Coturnix japonica: one gene and its partners. The protein of the gene in region 2 purifies or fractionates together with the protein of the main gene of each other region. This does not show direct contact. Links are inferred from orthologs where the notes say so. Each region holds a gene or a part of one and is shown on either strand. Other genes may lie near its edges. The genes, in order: GRB2, THEMIS and PTPN11.

Region 1 (4,871 bases), on a different chromosome or scaffold from region 2:
GCACAATCAATGTGCACCTGTGCTCCCCATGTGAGCAGAAGGGCAGGGCCCAGGGTGGAGCCACCCTGGGCTCATGTAAAGGCCAGGCACTGGAGGGGGGCTGCCTTTTGGGAAGGATTGCTGCATGCGTAGGGTGCTTGTTCGCTGGCTGGGTGAGTTCCATTCTTCTTTCTGTATATGACTATTGGCCTACCTGTGAATACTTACCTGGTATTGCTAAGACCCTGTCAGAAGCAATGCTGCTTCTTTGAAAGTAGAGCATTAACAAACATAGTGCTAAGAATGTTTCCTGAGAGCTCCCCAGAAACAGGCACAGCATCTGAATGCTATTAGGAAAATCAGATGTGTATATTCATTCAAACAGAGTATGACTTTTAAGTGGAAAATGTACTGTTCAGTTCAACAGGCTTTATATTTTACTATTTTCATGAGTTCCAGCAGGACAGTGCTGCCCCACACCCCAGGCAGGCCTTGTTTTTAGTCAGCCCTACCAAAGGACTTGTCTGCTGGCCAGTCCCCCATGGCTCCTGGCAAACTTCACCAGCCGTGGGAGTACGTGAGCACTTACTTGAAGGGTAGCTCTGGTTTGAGCAGTTTGATCTTAGCTGTGCTTGCTGTGCCTGATAGGAACGTATCTGAAACAGGGATAACCTCTGAGAAATACAAATCTAAAGATTATAAAATTAAGATTAAAGGGAACAGGTTAGTTTTCTCAGTTCCACTTGCGTTGCCATTATTTGTTCCTGGGACCTAAGCTAAAGCTACTAATATTTATTATCTCCTCATCAGATAAAGTGTTGGTGATACACTTATTTAAAAGGTTCAAGTTAAGAATAGTGTTGATGAGCTTGAGTAGATGAAGTACTAACCAAAAGGACTTATGGTGCCTGTATAAATCAGCAGCATGTATGTCTGTATTATAGAGATTTCTTAATGTGACTCTTAAGCCTTCTAGGTTATTTAAATTGTGCTCCATGTGCACTTTAACATAGCACAGGAGCTAATAATAGTTTGTTTACACTTCTGTTTTTAAGGAATCTGAAATACAGATGCACTACATTATCACATCTTGTGCATGCTGTACTGTTCATTGTCCAACTGTGAATTTTGTTCCTACTGTTGCTGTAACAAACAACATGATTTTAATCAATTTTGCCATAGGGGCTTTGTCTTTTTTGAAACTGTGTGTGTGTGGGAAGCTGTGCTACTGGGAACTGCTTCAGGAGGATGGATCCGCCGGGTTCCTGCCCTGCTGGGAGCTTCAGGTGCTCGTCAGACTCGGGCAGTTTGCAGGTACCGGCCTGACCGCCACACGAGCCCTGACGTGCCGGGTGGGCGCTGAGGCGTTTCGCCCCGTGCGAGCGGGCCCAGCTGCCGCTTCAATGACAGGAACACCGAGTCCGTGTGCCCCGGAGCTACGCGTCGGAGCGTTCTGCCATTTGTTCGCTTCTTTCTCTCCTATCTCCTTCACAAGCCGCCGGGTATCGCTCCGCTGAGGGTAACGGCGCTGCGCGGGAGCCTCCGGCCCGAGGGGAAGGGAGGGCTTTGCAAGGGCCTCTATACAGGGCCGGGGCCGAAGGGGGAATATCCCAACTGAGGGAGCGCGGGCCCTCCCGAACTCGCCCCGCGGCGGGACGGAGCGCAGCCGCCGCCGCTCGGCCTGTACTCACCAGCCGCACCGGGCCGTCTCGGCGGGGAAGCCGCCCGGCCTCTCCCAGCGCCGCCGGGGCCGCCATCAGCGTCACTGGCGAACCGGGCCGCCACGGCGCTGGGGACTCGCGGCGGCTTCCTCAAGAAGCCGGTATCTGGTTGGTGGGATCCCGGGCGGCTGCCCGTACGCCGCTCGCTGATTGGTGAGGTCGGAGTAGCGCGCGAAGCCGAGCGGGCGCTTTGGCGGCGGGTCGCCCTGAGCAGCGGCGGCTCCTCACGGAGCGGCCACGTCTGACCCCGCCGCAGACGGACGGACGGCGGCCGGCACCTGCGGGAGCCGCTGTGTGTCACGGCCACCGGCCGGATGGAGGCAGCGCGGGAGCACTGAGGTGAGTGTCGCTGCGCAGGAAGCCGCGGGGCAGCGAGGCCGGTAACATGAGGAGAAATCTGAACCGCTGCGCAATATGGGAACGAAATCGGGGGTGACGCGGGGACGGCGCGTGGTGCCGCTGTGCTGAGCCCCGAGCTACCGGCAGAGCCGATACGGTTCGCGTGTGTCGTCATCCCCGTAGGTCGGCGCTCGTACGTCCCGGGTTGAGACGCGCTGCTCCGTGTGAGGATCCTCCTCACAGAAGCGCTGTTCGTCTGGTGATGAATTGCAGGTGCTGAAATTGTTTGTGCTTTGGTGGTAATGAGTTGCTGTAACCCTTCATAGTCGCTTAAAAGGAAATAGTGGCAGGTCTGGGGGATTTTCTGCTGTAGTTTAGACACGATACAGGGAAGGGGATACGTGAGATCGTGGGCTTAGTGCTGCGTGAGCCTCTTGTTAGTTCCTCTTCAGGTTGTTCCACCACCACAGCAAAATGTACCGAATTAGTAAAATGCTTTAAAGAAGAGGTTAAAGATGCATCTTGAACAGAGGTTTGGAGGCTGGATTACTTGGTTCCTGAGGCAGATTCCCCGTGGGTCTCAAGTAAGCTACTAATAAAAGCTACTTTTTCTCTGTGTTCTGAATAGATTTTTAAGATGTAGTCTTAAAATCTATTAGTAGCAGAAAATCACACATTGATTTGTCTAGGCTGCTCTGAGGCGTTTAAGAAAAGATCCAAGTGTCAGGCACCAAGTCTTCTCTTAAAAGTTCTTAAAATACTCAAAACTATTCTTAGATTGTTTTATCACCACAAATGGTCATAGAGAATTCAAGCTATTCCTGGACTAGCGCATAATTTGAAATCGATCCTCTAGTAAAACATGTCTTCCACCCGGGCTTACAGCTGTGCTGGGATTTCGGCTTTTGTCGCCGTGAAGCTGCTCTGGTATCTGTGCAGTAAGTTGTACATTTTAAAGTGTTCACGTGCTTGCGAGGAGGGGGAACAATCTACCTTCCCTGATCTGTAAGTGCATCTCAGCAGCTTCTTTATCAGAAGTATTTTTCCATAACACTTTGATCTCTGCTATTTCTAAAATCTGTTGATGACTTGCCCTTGTAGGGCTGCCCTTTTAAAGTCGGGCAGCTACAGCCTCTTACAGTAGCCGTGGTTCATGTGGCAGCTGTTGGCCATGTCTGGTTGTTCAAGTCCTGTGACAAGTACCTGCTGTCACTGCTGCGATTGTTGTTGAACTTACTGAGAAATTCTAAATCTTCCCTTTGAAGTCAGATGGTGAAACCAGAGACTCGAGGTCGGTGCTAGCGCGAGACTGGAGACATGTTGGAGTCGAGCTGTGGTTGCAGCAGTCTGTCATCCCCGATAAACGACTTGTGCATCCTCACAAACAATGCCTGAAACACGTGGAACATCCTCAGCTCCCAGGGCTCTTTTTCTCCACCCTCTATGGGGAGAGAACCGTCAGTAATTTGCTCGTGGCTGGTCAGTGCTTGTTCTGGGAAACTGGCACGCGATGGTGGGTTGTTTTGTCGTTAGTTTTGTTTTTTTGTTTTTAAAAAAGCCTTTTTCTAGGATTGCGAGTGCGGTTCTGGAAAGCCTGTTTCAGAAATAGCTTTTCTCCCTAGAGCATGAGGAAATATTCTTCATGCACTTGTGTTATTGAGGAATTGAGTATTTTAATTGCAGGCTCTTGGAGCTAAAGGAATTCTAAGAATGCTGTGCAATGAGACCTTGGGGTGACGGCACGTGCGCTCTGGGTCCTGCCCTGCGCACACTGTAAGGCCTGTTTTTCCCCTGCAGAGCTCGGAGCAGCCGGTTGCAGAGCTCCAGCTGTGGATCTCTGCACCCTCCCAGTTCCGAGGATCGCAGCGTTCATGCTCGGGTGCAGTTTCCGTAGCAGTAACGTTCCGAATGTGCTTGTCACTGCGCGGTGCAGGGCGCCCCGCGCTCAGTCCAGCAGAGGCGCACATACAACAGCGCATTACCGGCCCCGCGCAGCCCGGTCCCGGCTGCCGGTGCGAGCTGCGCGTGCGCGCAGGGGGCTGCCCGTCTGCCACGCGGGAGGTGGACGCGCATGCGCCGCAGCGCGGCGGGCGGAGCAGCGAGTTGGTGACAGGGCCGCTCTCGCGAGAGTTGCCGAGGGGACGGTGGCGGCGGCGGAGCGGGCGGAGGGGGAGCCGCGGGACGGGGCTGGAGCTCGGGCGGTGACCGGGGCGGCGCTGGAGGGGCGAGCGGGCGACGGCAAGCCTCGGGAGAGGCGGCGGCCCACAGCGCTGCGCGGTGAGTGCGGGGGAAGCGGGGGGGGGGCGCGTGTGGCGGGCCGGCGCCGGGCCGCCGATCCCCCCGCCCTCGACCCGCTCCGGTGAGCGGCAGGCTCCTCCGGCACAGGCCCGGCTTCCCGGGACGCCGAGCGTCGGCGAAGGGCGGCCCTCTCCGTCGCGGCCTGCGCTCCGCACGGCTCCGCCTCCTCTCCGTGCTCCGCGGTGCCGAGGCTGCGGGCCCGAGTCTGAGCTCGGGCTTCCCGAGGCGCTGCTCGCTGAGGCGCTGGCTGGGCGGCCGAGCGAGCTCCCGTTGTGTTCAGGGGCTGCCTGCTGGGGAGGGTTCGGTCAGGCGCTGCTCAGGCCCCCAGCTGGACTGCGACTGGGGTCTGGGGCTGCGTCTTTGGGGGGGTGTGTGTAGGGGGGATGGTTCTTGGGGCGTGTTTTAAACGCTCCGCAAAAGGATTTTAGGGTTTCAAGTCCAATCCTAAGGTACGAAAGGTTGTGAGTAACCCGTAGTCAGGTTAACATCCGTGCTCGTCTTTCTTCTAAACCTTTTGGGTCAAGCATTAAATGT
Region 2 (4,073 bases):
ATCACAGAGCAAGAAGAGTGGAATATCTCATGAAAAGCGTTTAGCAGCTATGGTATACTGTGCAAAAGTCTCTGTTCTCTTTTATTTCTCTCCTGTGTATTTTATCTCCTAACATATTCCATCACCCAGAGGAATTTTCATAGTAAAAATATCCTCCTTAATATCTTCCTGAATGACATATTTCTCTCAGGATTTCATTTCTGTGCTTTCTGATGTGCTTCTAGTAAAAGCAACAGACAGCTCAGCTTCCCAAAAACTAAGTTCCTACCCAACTTTAACACTGTGGATAAATCAACAAGAACTGCAGCCACTTTCCACCTACTGCCTTTGCTGTCCTCAAGCAAAGTCAAGTATTTTAGCATAAGCTGCTGGTATTCTGTTTATTGTTTTTGTTTTTTTTTTTAAATTTTGTTTTGTTTTGTTTTTAAATTAGGGAGGAACTTTCATCAGTGCATTGTGTAAGCACACGAGTCATTGCTGCAGCTCAGCTATTCAAGCTACCGTAAAATAGGAGTCTTTCATTGTGTACTTATATCCTTCCATAACATCTAACTTCAGTTCAAAGTAATGCATAGCTATAAACACTAGTAAGGACAGTAACAACTAGTTTCAACTTTTTGGTAGTACAATCAGAACAGTATTGACTTAACAAGGAAAAACATTTTTTTTTTTCTTTTTCTTTTTCTTTTTTTTTGTGCAGTTCACAAACTGTAGCTGAGTGTCTTATAAAATGAATGCCACAGAGCAGATAGGGTTCAAAAGGATCGTGAAGCCCAACTAGTTCTAGACCCTTGCCATGGGCTGGGTTGTCACCCACTAGATTAGGCTACTCAAGGCCCCATCCAGCCTGGCCTTGAATGCCTACAGAGATCTTGTGACCACTCCAAGGCCAAAGAGATACAAAGAAAGAGGATCTCAGAGTTGAACTGAACTCTTAAGTTTTGCTTTTCCACTATGTTATAAATCTCCTTTTGAAAGATGATTTTATTTTAGTATTAAGTAAAATGACAACAGAAAGTAATACTAGGAAATTATCTGTATTAATATCTGATGGGGAAATACAGATGGTGATACTGTTTTTATCTTTCTACAATTTGGAATAGGTATCACTGGTAAAGACAGCTCAGGAATTATTCACCAACCAATTCTTCCTGCTTATTTTGAGCAACTTGTACGAATTTAAGTGTAAACAGAGTAAACAAATCTTTGATCTTAATTCCTACTTACATTTCATTACTGCCTGTACTTCATAGACAGGCATGAGAACCATGTAGCCACCAAAATTCTCAGGAAGTGGATTAGAGGAGTTCCACATTTGTAAAGTGTTGGAGAGTTTGACAGTCCGGCTTCTGCTCTTCGGGATTTTCCATTCTGCAATCTCTTTTAGGGTGTATATCTGGTCATCTTCACACTCATAGAATTTTCCTTCTTGTGATAGTGGCAAAATAAAGGAATGAGACCGGTTGTTTCTGACCATAACACAGCTCACAGCCATTGTTCCATTGATCTCTTCCACAGAATTGAAGGTGATCTGCTCACCCTGTTTGATAGTGAGGTTTGCCAGTTTTACATCCTCCGGGCTGTAAAAACATGGATGGCCAAATCTCGTTGGCCCAATAGTGACTTTTCTTGTAATTTCTTCAACGCTGACATATGGTGTTTTGTCTGCCACAATCTTATAAAGACCTAAGAACAGAAAAGGTGCATTATAAGAAGAAAAATATGCAGAGCAAGACAAGACAAACCACAGAATCAAAAACAACATGGTTTGGAAGGGACCTCTGGAAATCATCTAATCCAACTCTCTGCTAAAGCAGGCTACCTAGAATAGGTTACACAGAAAAGCATCCAGGCTGGTTTTGAATACCTCCAGAGGAAACTACACAGCTTCTGTGGGCAGCTTGTTCCAGTGCTCTGTCACCCCCAAACTAAAGATATTCATTCACACATGTATTGATAAGATATTGGACAGAGCTGAGAAAAACCTGGCCCCATCCACTTGTCTCTCACTCATTACATACTTACAAGGATTGATAAAATCCCTGATCATATCTGTGTCATGATTTCAGCTGCAATAAAGATTGTTTTCTTCATTATGGCCTGTATGGTGCCATGTTTTTGATTTATAATGAGAATAATGATGACAACACACCAATATTTTTAGTTGTTGCTGAGCAGTCCTATACAGAGCAAAGAATGCTTTGGTTTTTCAGCTTTTCATGCTGTCCTGCCAAAGAGGGTGCTGAGGGGACAGAAGGAGCTGAGTGAAGAGAGAAAAAAGCATCTGACCTAGTCTGGCCAAGACATTCCATGTCATATGGCATCTTGTGTAAAAACCATAAAATTGAGGGGAGCTGGTTGGGAGGGGTATCTGCTTCTTAGGGACTAGGTTGGCATCAGTAGGTGGGTGGTGATCAAATACATTGCGCTTCACTTGTTTTATATATTCTTTTATCGTTATTATCATTGTTATTATTTTCTTTCCTTTTCTGTCATATTAAACACCCTTTGTCTCAACTCATGAGATTTACACTTTTTTTTTCTGCTCTTGTACTGCAGAGGAGTGAGTGAAAGGCTGTGAGGGGCTGAGCTGCTGCCAGGTTAAACCACAACAAGCAGATAGTTCAGTTGCTAGAAATGTAACTGTATAGAGATAATATCAACCACGTGATACAAAGCATAGACAGATGGAATTAGACTGTTCTACTCTACAGCTGCAGAATTTTTATGTCTATGATTGAAAAAGAAAAAAGTTTTTGCTACAGAAAAAAAAAGAAAAAAGAAAAAAAAAAGAATACATATTCTGTTAAATTCTTATTTGTTTCCTCAGGAAACCAGGCCTTAAGAAACAAATGCAGACATTATATGAGAAAAGAGTGTCAGTAATGTGATCGGTGAAACACAGGGTGAATTTTCTCCTTAAACATCAGTAAAACACATCTTCTACATGTAGGGGATTCCAAGAATAAGCATTTTTAAAGAAATAACACCAGTAGCATGTAAAGATGAGAACGAGCAAGAACACTTGGTCTTAGCAACTCTGATAGTCCAGACCATCAGATGGAGTGCTTCACAGTTTGGGTACTGTGGCCATAGCAATGCAATTAAAGTGCGGAAATACTGTACTGTAAGGCAGAAGCTGCATCTGAGCCTCCCTAGCCCCTGGGGACATTATTATTTCATGTTAGTCATGGCCCTTGGAGCTGTCTCATTAGGAGCTCACATCACAAGAAAAATGTGTACATTTCTATATTTGTGTGAGAGTTTTCACAGAGGAAGATGAAGTGGACAGTTTAAAGGACTAAACAGTAGGGTTTAGCTGAGCTATGTGATTAAGCTATCCTCTTCCCAAGATGCAGCAGTGTGAATGCTGCCTCATAGAATCACATTACAGCTTTTATGTTCTAGCTACAGCTATGCTGACAGTGAAGCCAACCTCCCAGGGCAATGCAGCACATTTTCTCTACATCCCTACAAAGCCAAAAAGCAGAAATTCCATGGCCCTGTTACTTTTTTTTTTTTTTTTCCTCCTCCAGACCATACAAAGGGTATCATGTCCTTTGAGTAAAGGAATTCTCCCATCTTTGCAGTTACGGAATAGGAATGGGATGTATATGATAATAGAATCACAGAAACATAGAATGGCCTGGATTGAAAAGGACCACAGTGATCATCTAGTTTCAATCCTCCTGCTATGTGCAGGATTGCCAACCACCAGACCAGGCTGCCCAGAGCCACATCCAACCTGGTCTCGAATACCTCCAGGGATGGGGCATCCAAAACCTCCTTGGGCAGGATTCATGGAGCATTGCTTGGCACCACTAAAGACACTTCCTCACCAATTCTACATCTTGCGAGTGATTCCAGTGAAATCTAAAAAGCTTTAAGTGTTCTATTTGCCTACCTCACCATTTAGATGGGAAATTGGGGCAATGCTGGCTATGACTACCCTTCTGTGGTGATCAGAGTGAGAAAAGGGAGAGGATGCCACAGCAGGTGCCCAAATCTCAGCCAGGTGTGATGCTGCAGGACTCAGTTCCTACTAGCTGCTGGGAAGATGCTCATTTACACCA
Region 3 (4,073 bases), on a different chromosome or scaffold from region 2:
GAATACAAAGAACTCATGTCTATGTGAATGGATGCAGCTATGTGTCCATACCCATTGCTTCAGCACAGCTGTAAGTGCTACATTATATCATATCTTTATTTTTTCCTCCAGGATGTTACTTCCTATACTCAAAGTGTTGCTTTTATCTGAAAAGTATTATTGTGCTTTATTCCTGCATCTGCCACCAGCCTTTAGGTTCAAGAATTCATGATGTAAAGCAATGCTCTATTGCAACTTCAAGAAACTTTTATTCTCACGCCTCTTGAGCTAGTAACACAGTAAAGGATGAAACAACTGATCACTGTAAGAGAAATGCACTGTTCCTCTCAATACCAAAGTATAATTCAAAACCACATTACAGCAATCAAGAAGTTACAGATCTACTTTATAAATGGTGGCAGCAGAAAGAGACTATATTCAAAAGCTGAGGATACAAGGCTTGTGCAATCACACACAGATGTGAGGAAGCTCTAAAGTGAAGTGAAACAAGCAAGCCAGAAAAAAAGTACACCTGAGGGATTTCATGTTCTTCTCTTTGAGTCTAATCAGCATCAAAGCACACAACAGGCATCCTGGGGAAAAGAATAAAGACTCCATCCTCTGTTGAACGGTGCATCTACATGATGCTGGCAAATATAAAACAAGTTCTGTCACACTCCAAAGAAGCCAGAAGCCACACGAGAGTGCCAAGACTGAGCTGGCACACCCTACCTCTAAAATAGGGCTTAAATCTCACAACTGGCACTGAACTAACAATGAACATACGGCTTTCCACATCTGCCTGATGATCTGCGTGAGTTTATCTCCTGAGCAACAAGGCAGCAGAAGATACTGAAATTCTGAAAAAGATAAGTCCCAGATGACCAGAAAAATAGAGAATGAAAGCAATAGTGGACAGAAAGTTAGTTCTTTATCACAAAACCATGCATCTTCTGTACAAGATGGTAGAATTAGATGGTACCTGAACAGAAAGAAGTGTGGAGGGGTGTCTTGCAACTGTCCTCACATCCCAAGCTTTTTCATCACATGCTTTACAATCCTTCAGATCAATATACTTCATTCCACATAACCTAACACTCAAATTTCATTGCCATATTGGCAGTCAAGTCTCCAAGTCACAAGCAGCAAATGAGCAACTCTGCTCCCTGCTCCAGTGATAACATATTCCTACATAATTTACACTTCAGATGAATATACCTGTTCCTCTTCAATCCTGCGCTGTAGCGTTTCAATGTAGTGCTGCACTGCCATGTAAATAAATCTGTACTGTGCTTCTGTTTGAACCATTCCTGACCGCTGTGATCTCACCATCTGAATGGTCTTGGGAACATCAATATCACAGTCCACACCTGTGAAGTAAAAATAACCATGAGGTTAGAAGCAAAGTAAACTTTGCTTTTGGAGAGATTGGTCTCCTCTATATACAATGAACAGACTGACAGCCACATACTCATGAAAGATTTAAACAAATAATTAAATACAAATATTAAGAAAAATAACACAGATTCCTGGCTAATCCTCAGCTGAAAGTTTTCATCATCCTGACCTAGAGCAGGATTTCAGCACTTTGATTCCAACTAAGAAGAATGACAGAGTCCCTTTTATGCTAAACAAGTACTCACTCTAAAACAATACTAGAATCCTCTGTCAACATTTCTATTGTTTCTACTGTAATGCTTCTGTGACCTATGTCAATGTCCCAGCAGAAAACAAAAGGCTGAGGACACCTACCTTTTTCTCTGATTATGTCAATAAGAATATCAATCACAATGAAAGTTCCTGTTCGTCCAATCCCAGCACTGTGGAAAAGAACAATGATAATTTTGCTGTGAGAAGGCACTAGAACACTAACCTAAGTTAAGAGTACAACACTAAGCAGCATTAGATTTCCAGTTTCCAGGTAAAGCCAAACCAAACTACACAGACAAAAGAAAACAGAGGCCTATATTTTCAGAGAGACAGAAGTAGGCAGAAGTCACAACAGCATTTTCTGTATCTTAGTGTTTATTAACAACCTTGGATCAGACAGAACTAAAAGATCAAATGTTTCCTTGCCTTATTGAAAACAAAAATTCAGACATTAAAAATGAGGAGTGATATCTTACAGGAGGTGGGATGGTAGACTAGTATTCCCATGATCCCAAGCAATACATCAATAGATGTAAAAAAAAGAAGCCAACAGACCTCCAGAGAAGCAGAAGCATTCTGCATCACTGTACCTGCAGTGGACCACAACTGGTCCTGCATCAGAAATGCTTTCTTGCTTATGGTGCACCTCCTCGAGAAAGTCCAGTACACCACCAGGATCACTTGGGACTCCATGATCAGGCCAAGTTCTGAAATGATATTGCCAGACTGTTCTCTCTGTGTTCCCCTAGAAGGAAGACATCAACATGTGAAAAAAAATCCTTCTGATCAAAATTCAACTAAGAGCATTACTTCAGCAAAGTTGAGTCAGATCAGAAGGCAGTGTACCCAACCCTTCTACTCAATATCTGTGGCACTACAGCTCAGTTAAAGAAGGAAAGAGTTTTTCTTGGCCTGACAAGTCAATCACACTACCTGCTCCCACTGTTCCCTCTTTGTCTCATTTAGCGATTTCCAATATTTCTGTCTCACCTTTAGAAGGTAAGGAAAAGCTCTGTTTCTTAACAACAAAGTGCTGTTCCCACACAAATTCACTGCTTCCTTCCTCATTTTACATGTCTTCACTTAAGAGCTCTTTCTAGATTCTGGACTCCCATACAACAGTTCCTTCTAGTACAACCACCTCCACGAAAGGGCAGATAAATGCTTAGCTAGACTAAAGTATGATTACTTAAAAGCACTTTCATGCTTCTTTCCAGACTTCCTCAAAGCTCTGCAGTCATGCATCTTCTGCCAAAACAAAAAAGTGCTCAGGTATAAGAATCTTCAATTAGCCCAAGGACAAAGGGAAAGATGCATGGAGCTAAAGCTGGAACTTCAAAGAAAGAGTCAAGGCTCAATTTATTCATCTTTTAGTGCTTTTATTGATTCTGCAGAAAGAAGAATCTGCATTTTTTTTTACTTGCAACCTAGATTAAAAGGACAGAGCTACTAACATACTTACTTGCCCAACTTTAGAAAGCTTAAGTTCTCTTAGCGTGTAGTCATGTGCTGCGCTCTCCTTAACGTTCCTCACACGCATAACACCATACTCCTTTAAGGAATATTCATCAGGCCAGTACTTGACACACTTACTCTGCAAGATTCAAAGCAAACAAACAAGACTTTAAAGAGTAATCCACAAGAAGGCTGCTTTGTGAACCGCTGAGCACTTTCCTGAAGTTTTCATTTCTGAGAACATCTAAGACAACACCAGCACCAACTGGACAACATCAAATGACACATTAAAGTATGTGTGAAGGGAAAGTTTCTTTTCTATATCTCAAATAAGGAATTATTTCAGGAAAAGTGGTACATGCAATCTCTCCTTTCAGCAGCTTTCATGATTTTAGTACCAGTTTTGCCTCATAGTTGCAAAGCCCTGGGATTGAAATGCAGTTACCTATACCTCCACCCAACTATTTGTTTCAAAATACGAAGAATTTTCAGGGGAATGCTGCAGCTCCATATGCTGCTCTAAAATCAATACCTAACAGGCTGCAAAACAAACGCAAGTCAAAGATATAAATCATTTTTAACAGGAATGCAGCTTGGACATTCGCTTTTTCATTGCTTAGAATCAGGGAAAAAACGGGCTAACATAGCTCTAATTCAATCACCAAAGCAACACAGAACTGCTCCCTTTGACAGACGGCCTGATGCATCTGTAGGCTTCGACATTTAGAGCTTTCAGCATGCTGCTTCTCTCTCAAGGTTATCTTTGGCCAGGGATGTATTCTACACACTGAAGGGTGGCTTAACCTATTACTTCTTTAATTTGGTTCCTGCAACAACAGCTCCTGTTAGCCTCGTGAAGGCTAACACAAAATTAGATGAGAAATATAGTGGGGAAGACAGATGCAGCTTCCAGCAACAGCAAACAGACCAAGCACCAAATACCATAGAAAAATATTTCTTATTAACAGCACCTAGTGCAGATTTACAAG

The links.
Region 1: the proteins of THEMIS (region 2) and GRB2 purify together in Homo sapiens (co-immunoprecipitation; 6 studies listed by BioGRID and IntAct, counting the BioPlex papers as one, with this or other methods). This does not show direct contact. The link is inferred for Coturnix japonica from reciprocal best matches to the Homo sapiens genes THEMIS and GRB2.
Region 3: the proteins of THEMIS (region 2) and PTPN11 purify together in Homo sapiens (co-immunoprecipitation; 3 studies listed by BioGRID and IntAct, counting the BioPlex papers as one, with this or other methods). This does not show direct contact. The link is inferred for Coturnix japonica from reciprocal best matches to the Homo sapiens genes THEMIS and PTPN11.

The regions. Positions count from the first base shown.
Region 1 is NC_029533.1:9,419,566-9,424,436, reverse strand, and holds the start of GRB2 (growth factor receptor-bound protein 2), read left to right. Parts: upstream 1-1,884; 5' UTR 1,885-2,039; intron 2,040-4,187; exon of another isoform or gene 4,188-4,316; intron 4,317-4,871. UniProt on the Homo sapiens protein: Non-enzymatic adapter protein that plays a pivotal role in precisely regulated signaling cascades from cell surface receptors to cellular responses, including signaling transduction and gene expression.
Region 2 is NC_029518.1:53,533,332-53,537,404, reverse strand, and holds part of THEMIS (protein THEMIS), read right to left. Parts: intron 1,687-4,073; coding exon 1,228-1,686; intron 1-1,227.
Region 3 is NC_029530.1:5,554,529-5,558,601, reverse strand, and holds part of PTPN11 (tyrosine-protein phosphatase non-receptor type 11), read right to left. Parts: intron 3,224-4,073; coding exon 3,092-3,223; intron 2,375-3,091; coding exon 2,220-2,374; intron 1,800-2,219; coding exon 1,732-1,799; intron 1,350-1,731; coding exon 1,198-1,349; intron 1-1,197. UniProt on the Homo sapiens protein: Acts downstream of various receptor and cytoplasmic protein tyrosine kinases to participate in the signal transduction from the cell surface to the nucleus. Positively regulates MAPK signal transduction pathway. Dephosphorylates GAB1, ARHGAP35 and EGFR.